Schizosaccharomyces pombe: one gene and its partner. The gene in region 2 interacts genetically with the main gene of each other region. Each region holds a gene or a part of one and is shown on either strand. Other genes may lie near its edges.

Region 1 (4,063 bases), on a different chromosome or scaffold from region 2:
GAATTAATCGATTTAATTCCATTTCTTGAACATCTTGCTCGTGTTCCAGATGTTAGTACTGTCCTTAATCTTCAGTTATAATGACTATTGGAAAATTTGTGGCTTTGCGAAGCCTTTCCATTATCTTGGTTTCTACTTCACGACGAAATTTTCATTGAACTTGAACGGTTTCTTTCTTTTTTATCTTTTATTTAATAAATTTTCATCGTTAAAAGGTCTCAAATATGGTTTCATGTTGTTATAAATGCTATTTTTCTTCATTTGGCATATGATTGATCCAGAATCAAAGATGTTTTATTGACGTTTACATGCTTTATTTCTCTTTCCCCTTGTTATGTCCGTCGACCTACGAAAACCTTGCTATTGTACATTTTACTATTTTTTAAAAGAGCGGAACCATTCTTTTTTAAGCCTTTTTGTTCTAAAATTAGATTTTTTAAGAAGTGCTACATTATGATTGTTACTAAATCTTTCCAATGCCAAAGATGTCTGTGCCTATAATTTAACTTCGTAAGGCAAGCAATAAATATTGGGGAAAGTTTCAAGATTTATATTTACCATATAGGTAAGTGGCAAATGCAGGATGAAATCCTGTTTCTTAATTATTAATCAATGACCGGCGAAAAGTATAAAGGAGGTTTGCAGAGAAATGTGTATATTATCATATTTAAATTAGTCAAATATATATTGTAACGTGAATAACAAATCAAAAGGTAGTATTATGCAACACCGCTACAATTTAACAAGTACGTGGAAAAAATGTCCAGAGCATCGAAAATGCCGTCTAAATTGTATTCTAAAGTTAATTTTTGAGAAAATAATATTCAATAATTTGGTGAAACAATATAAAGGACCCGGAACTTTGAAATTAAATAACATTTATTTTAAAGCTTTTGAACCATGGTTTCATAAAGTTTTTTAGCTCTGACCCAAACGGGAGCATTGTCGACGTCCTTCAAAGCCAAAAGACTAGGAATTAGAGCTTCACTAAATGCTTCGGAAGATTCCCTTGGCAATAAAGTAGGAAGATGATCAATAGAAATGACCTCTAAAGGAGGAGGAGTTGTGACACCTTTAACCTCAACTGTAGGATGATCAAATGTAGTGTTTACATTATAAATTGGAATAGGATTGTTAGGATTGGTAGTGTCACAGCTAACATCACAAACAACACGCAATTTACGGTTAGGTACATTTAACGACTCGACGGTACAGAATTTGGGAATAGGCATGCTCAGATAAATGCAGTTAACAAATATGTCTGATTCCGTAATTTCGGTAAAGGGACCACCCTTCTTAGTTTCATTAATGTCCCAGCGAAGAATGTTATCGAAGGGAATACCAATCTTTGATGCTAAATCGCACGCTCCAGTACCACAACGACCAAGAGCCCCAATAACCAGAATACGAGGATACTGGTTGTTATTCTTTTTCAAAGCTAAACGTACTTGACGAGCAACATGGCGAACCAAAGATTTTTCGTTGGGGAACGGACGGATAGCAGGGAATTGTTTGTTAGGATGCAATAATTGATGTGCCCAAACTAAACATGAGATAGCTGATCCAGCAAAACCAGCGTGGTAACCAAAAGCGGCAACACGTCTGCCATTGTCATCTTGCAAAAATTCCAAATCATATAGAAGACCATTGCCAGCGGGGAATCGGGACAAGACTTCACGCCAACCTTCCTGGTTTTTGTAGCAATGAGCAAATTGAATATGAGTATGCTTCAAAGGACTGTTATCATTTTCCGGAAGCTCTTTGAGACCAATAATGTACGCGTCCTTAGGTGCATGTCGCCATGAGCCCTCAGGAACCATGGGGAAACCAAGGCGCTCAAATTCTTTGTCCTTGAAAGCACGTTGGGAAGAGCGCTCAATGGTAATTTGAAATCCAGCATCGGCGAGTATCTTGGCAGTTCTAGGAGTCAAAGCACTGCGCTCTTCTAAAGGTTTGGTTTCAGCACGTAACCAAAGATGAGGAGCAACCATTTTGGAACAGAAAATTAATTAAATATATATTTTTAAATCGAAAAAGTATTTCAACGTTTTTAAAAACTTCCCTTTCTAAGTTAGTCAAAAAAATTTAAACTAACAAAATGAAGACGTGGCGAAGGAGACCAAAAACTTAATCAAATAAGTTTATATACTGCAAATTGGCAAAATAATATAGATCAATCTCGATATAAATGAGATCAAATTTGATGCGGTCAATTTACAGATCAGCAATGATATGAGCAGAAGGGATCTTGATGGATCTAATACGCTACACAGGTTCAGTGGCAGTCACGTTAGCTACCTATCCTAGGCACAATTCACTTGATTTTTACTAGTATGCTTTTAAATAATGAATAATTTTAAAGAAAATGATGAAAAAAGCACTTTTGGTCAGTATGCGGAACTAGATAAAATACTCGACTTGAAAAAAGGGATTCCTGAGGATCCGTGTAGTTTACAGTATTACTTTGACCAAATGGCCATGTGTTTAACAGTGTTCTCACAAATGAATCATTACTATCGTTATGGTGAATACAACAGATGTAAGGGAAATTTTAAAGACTTTAAATGGTGTCTGTCAACCAAGTCGAAGGCTCACGAAGAGGCTCAAGAAGGGCTTCGTAAGCGGCGTCTTCAGCAGTGGATGAAGTTTAGGCAAGGGCCGAATAGTGAAGACATTTGGAAGATGCGTACTTCTCCAAAAAGTAGTGAATAAGTTTTTAACGTTTCGTGCTGTGTTCACCAAACGTCGATATCAATTCTTACGAAGGCATCCATTTGTTGCGTATAACATTGGGGGAATAGCATATTTGATGATGTCTTGGATGTAAAGTTCCTGTATATCCTAGTCTGCTTAACCTTTGAAACTAATTGTTTATAGTTGGCGGGGTACTTCTATTTAATTTACCTTCCAAGTAAACTCTGAGTTCTCTTTAATTTTATGAGTAACTAATTAAACGAACAACAAATTGTTGCTTTGATTTTACAACATTGTTTGGCAGCAGGTTGATTATTTACTCAGGTAAAGATTGCTGATAAACTCGAAGGTGTTGACATCTAAAGTATGGATTAAAGCGTATATGACTTGATGAACCTGTTGATGAAACTTGGCGAATAACTTATGAAATTTGGCCTATGTCGGTGTTAAAACCTTTTTGCATTTGGAAATGACATACTAAATAATTAATACGCAAAATAATTTTGAATACAATGCAATCATGTTTTGTAGATTACGGACTAAAAATCATTTAAAAAAATCAGTTTTACGGAAAGATTGTGTAAATTTTGATCGCATAATGAGCAAGTTTCATAAATAGGTATAACATTCAAACAAGCATATGCGTTTCTTTAATGAAACTATAGAACAAAGTTTCCTTTTTTTAATAAAATTTTTCGACCAATTTCAGAAGGACGAATATACACATGTATGACATACTTTTCGAGTTAAACATTGAAGCAAATTTTTAGTACTCGAACATACAATATTTATCAGCACTAATTTTTTGAACTAGATGCTCTGTTAAGAAAAGTAAAAATAAATCTTTTTTATCTCTATTTTTTTTGTTGATTAGTACTGGTGTAATTACAGTTCATTATTTATCCACTATATCTTAGCCAACTCAAATTTGAATTTATCGTTGCATCTACCTACTTTTACCTTGTAACTGCAACTTTTCTAAATGAACATATTTTGATAAAATAACAATAACACTTCTATCATTCCTTCTGCTCAGACATTAAAAAAATGGATTACTATGATATTGATAGTATCTTGTCTGAAAATCAAAAGGTTCCATGTACTAGTACAGTTTCCATTCCAGGACTAGGCCATGAAGGGCGTATGGTTAGTGAAGTTTATAAAAATAGAACTTGACTTTCTAAACAGTTTAGGTTCCTACGGGCTCTAAAGTTGAACTTCCTTTTTGGCTGGCAGAGGTTTTAGCAATTAAGTAAGTAAAGTTTTTTTTTTTTTTTGGTTTTTTCTGCATGTTACATTATATACATGTAATGTCTTATAGAAAATTGGATAATTTTGCTTATTTGCTTACTTTATAGTTCTTTTGTTA
Region 2 (4,261 bases):
TTTTGTTCCTCTATACATTTTTTGGCCAATGCTAAATGCTCATCATCCCATTCTACATGATCCCTGAACAATTAAAGTAAATTAGTACTATGCAATTCATATGAACTTGTTTAGTATTACCACGCATTTTGCTCGAAAACATCTTCTTCTTCTGTGAGCAGACGACCCCCAAATGATTCATTAATTGAAAAAGTTGCTTCTCTTACAGAAGAAGTTTTTTTCTTCTCAGAATTATCTGGTGTTGTATCCATCTATGACCAATAATTCTTTAATTCCACTTGCAGTGGTTTCTACTAGGTACTGGTTGTTGATGAAAACGTTTCATATGCAAATGATGTGAGGATTAAATGTAAAACAGAATGCCAAAGTTAATCAAACGTTACTCTTAGTTTAGCTTACAAAAGTGGTTTCGAACTTGTGGTAATATGAATTTTAACTTCAACAACTATACATTACATGCAGTACGGCAAATAAAGCGGACTATTGATATTTTCTGCCCACGAAAGTAAAATAATTTGAAATAAAAAAAAGAAATATAAATATTTTATATGAATCACTAAGCTATACCAAATTATCATTTTCATTCACAAAGGTATCCAATTGTCCAAAATTTTTTATTTTAACATCCCGCTAATTACAATAAATGGGTGCTTATATATATAATAAATTACAACTTTTGCTTGAGTAAAGTAAAAAACCACTTCCCATTATCAACAAATTAGCTTGTCAAAATCTTACATCAGTAAGAAACTATAAACTGATTGTTACCAATAATTACAGAAGGTCTGTAGTCATCGAACCCTTAACATTAGAAGGGAGGTAAGTAAGAATGAATCGTCTAGTTTTTTTGTTTAAAGCATTGTTTTTTAATGAATAGGCTTCTCAGCGTAAGGAGTCATATCAATGGTAGGAAGATCATTCAAAGATTTCTTAATGACTTCAATACCCTTCATTAAGTCTTCCTCGGTAATGACCAAGGGAGGAGAGAAACGAATGATGTTACCATGAGTAGGTTTGGCCAATACACCACGAGAGCGCATGATCAAGCAAAGATCCCAGGCAGTACGGCCATTGGTCTTAGACTCATCGATAACGACAGCGTTAAGAAGACCGCGACCACGAACCTTTTGAACAATAGGAGACTTGCATTCAATAAGAGCGGTACGGAATTTCTCACCCAAAACAGCAGCACGTTCAGTTAATTTTTCTTCCTTAACAACCTCCAAAGCAGCAATGGAAACGGCTGCACCAAGAGGGTTACCACCATAAGTAGAGCCGTGAGTACCAGGTTCAAAGTTGAGCATAATTTCACGAGAAGATAAAACAGCACTGACAGGATAAACACCACCAGAAATAGCTTTACCCAGGATAACAACGTCAGGCTTAACGTTTGAGTGCTCAATACAAAGCATCTTACCGGTACGAGCAACACCAGTTTGAACTTCATCGGCAATAAACAAAACATTATGGGCCTTACACAACTTGTAAGCTTCCTCAAGGTAACCATCATCAGGAACCATGACACCAGCTTCACCTTGAATAGGTTCAACCAAAAAGGCAGCAACCTTAGGACCAAAGGTGTCAAGGTAATATTTCAAATCTTCGATATTGTTGTAGCGCAAAACACGGTCAGCACCAGAAATCTTAGGGCCAACGTTGGGCAAGTAAGGACCATAGTTATCGCGAGCATCGGGATCAGTTGACATGGAAATAATACCCATGGTACGACCGTGGAAGTTGTCAACGCAAGACAAGATGATAGCCTCATCAGTGGGAATTTTCTTAGCCTTGTAACCCCACAGACGAGCGAGCTTGCAAGCAGTTTCGACGGCTTCGGCACCAGTGTTCATGGGAATGACCATCTCGTAGCCGAAGTATTCAGTGATGTATTTGGCGAAGGGACCAAACTTATCATTGTAGAATGCACGAGAACTAAGAGTAACTCTTTGAGCTTGTTCAACTAAAGCTTCAATAATTTTAGGATGGCAATGACCTTGGTTGACCGCAGAGTATGCGGACAAAAAGTCAAGGTATTCTCTTCCTTCAGGATCCCAAACCTTAGCCCCCTTAGCCTTGGAGAAGCAAACGGGCAAAGGATGATAGTTGTGAGCAGCATACTCGTTCTCAAGAACCTCGATTTGCTCGGTAGAGAAAGTGTTATGTAACAAAGATTCGGCTGACATAATGAAGAATTTACTAAGACCTAAAGAAAACTGATTCAAGATTACACAATAATCTCTTAACTCCTTTGATAATCTGACTTTGCCTTGATGTTTACTCTTTTTCAGATTCGAAGATCAGACTTGGCAAATTCTTGGTTCGGCAATGCTACTAATATATTGCCTTATCTCGTACGAGCTCGATCTTATATGTACTTTTAAAAGTAGTCCTTCACATTCCTTATACTTATTTAATGAAAATTTCCAATAATGGAGTCCGCGGAACTTGGGTGTTCGGAGTTTGTATGGTAAATATGCAAGAGAGACGAAGTGCAAAACATGTGTGTGAGAATTCATTAACCATGAGAAATCCCTTATTGTTGCTACCCTAAATTTTTTCTATATGCGTTTTACTACCGGAAACGGTACTTCGAGTAAATCTGGTATTTAAAGAAGGGCTTTTCCATATAAGATGAAAAATATTAAATAGCGCAAAGCGAAAAGAGGTGTAAACATGACTATAGTCGCTAATTAGTTTATTTCAGGGATTGTAACCAAATAAATCATATGTTGAGAGCAAGAAACAATCTTCATGTAGAAAGCAAAAAAAAGTTGTTTTGTGTGGTAAAAGAGTTAACAAAGCAAGCATAAGTTGCATGTTTGTAAATATTTAATCACATTTCTCTGCTTTGATTTCAAATTTACTAGGAATTATTTCCTGCTCCTGCGCAGTAAGCAACCGAGCAGACAAAATATCTCCCGGTACCACAGGACCAACGCCCTTTGGAGTACCTGTTAGCACCAAATCACCAGGATTCAAGGACATGGCCTCAGTGATTGACGAGAATATTTTAGGAATCTTGTTTAACATCAGAGATGTACTGTCCTTCTGGACCACCTTGCCGTTAAGTGACAATTCCAGAATGACATTGTGGGGATCAGGTATAAGATGCTTAGGAATGATGGGGCCAACGGGTAAAAAGGTGTCATAACCTTTCGCGAAGGACCAAGGGAGACCTTTTTTCTTCGCTTCATTTTGTATGTTTCTAGCGGTCATATCGATTCCTACAAAGTAGGCTCCAATTGAATCGAGCCAGCTATTGGAAGATACTGGACGTCTGGCAGGCAGGCGATCCTTCATTATCAATCCTAGTTCAACTTCATAATGAGCAGATACATCGGGAGGAATTATTAAGTTTCCATGGCCAGGTTCAACAATGGCACTAGTAGGTTTAAGGAAAAAGAAAGGTTTGGTGGGGAAGGGGTTGTTCAACTCACGAATGTGAGCACTAAATATAAAATTAGTATTCTACTTCAAATGTAAAATAAAAGTTTAAGATCCTCGACAATTCAGTGACGTTTTGGACCTTCAGCTTTTTTGATTCCAAGTAACCATATCTTCGAATCATCAATAAATCTTGAACTTGTAACAACGTACGCATAGTTTCTTCCAATACAAACAACCTTGCCGGCCCGTGACAACATGGTTGACAATTTTAGTGAGTGACTGTAGTATTCGAAAAATATGGGTAGCTTATAAGTCCACGGACTTTAAAATTTTTCAGGTTGACTGGCGGATTGAAACTGTCTTACTAGGGTACAGCTTTCAACTTCGCTATTTCTGTACCTAAAATTATAAATATGCAAAATCAAATAAAGTTGATTCAATCTGTTTAATAGGTAAAAGCCTTAGCGAAAAAAAATAGATACACCGTTTCGGTAATTAAATATTCCAAAAGACTCCCGCTAAGGAGTTTACTAAATAGCGTCGGAATTAGTTAACAGGCTTTTATAGGATTCGTAAAATTCATCGGAATAATTTGTGAAAATCACATCTGGTCCGCATGGATACCAATGGGAATTTGTGGTCAAGTTTAAATTATTCAAGTTTTTAATTTCCGTCGTATTGGAACATGAAAAAATTTTGGGAACAATGGTAACCACATAAGCATCAATGTCGGTAGACCCAAAAGCTTTGGCTAACAGCTCTGCTCCTCCCTCAACCATGATTCTGTTTACACCATTTTGCAACAGCTTGTCGAGCGCCACATAATCCGACCAACTGTCAGGTGAATCCTCGTTTCTAATGATACAGCGGCCTC

Evidence for each region. A genetic interaction does not mean that the proteins touch.
Region 1: mutations in car2 (region 2) and lys3 impair growth when combined (synthetic growth defect), as found in Schizosaccharomyces pombe (one study listed by BioGRID).

What each region holds. Positions count from the first base shown.
Region 1 is NC_003424.3:528,450-532,512, reverse strand, and holds lys3 (saccharopine dehydrogenase Lys3), read right to left. Parts: upstream 2,235-4,063; 5' UTR 1,992-2,234; coding exon 885-1,991; 3' UTR 532-884; downstream 1-531. Other genes in the region: NLI-interacting factor-like phosphatase Psr1, read left to right, coding at 1-81; SPOM_SPAC227.17C (uncharacterized protein), read left to right, coding at 2,347-2,712; GINS complex subunit Psf3, read left to right, coding at 3,742-3,840, 3,888-3,946, 4,053-4,063. UniProt on the Schizosaccharomyces pombe protein: Catalyzes the NAD(+)-dependent cleavage of saccharopine to L-lysine and 2-oxoglutarate, the final step in the alpha-aminoadipate (AAA) pathway for lysin biosynthesis.
Region 2 is NC_003423.3:3,808,545-3,812,805, forward strand, and holds car2 (ornithine transaminase Car2), read right to left. Parts: upstream 2,306-4,261; 5' UTR 2,184-2,305; coding exon 867-2,183; 3' UTR 515-866; downstream 1-514. Other genes in the region: trm140 (tRNA (cytosine) methyltransferase), read right to left, coding at 1-63, 121-251; acylpyruvase Oaa1, read right to left, coding at 2,830-3,448, 3,598-3,644; rib7 (5-amino-6-(5-phosphoribosylamino) uracil reductase), read right to left, coding at 3,918-4,261.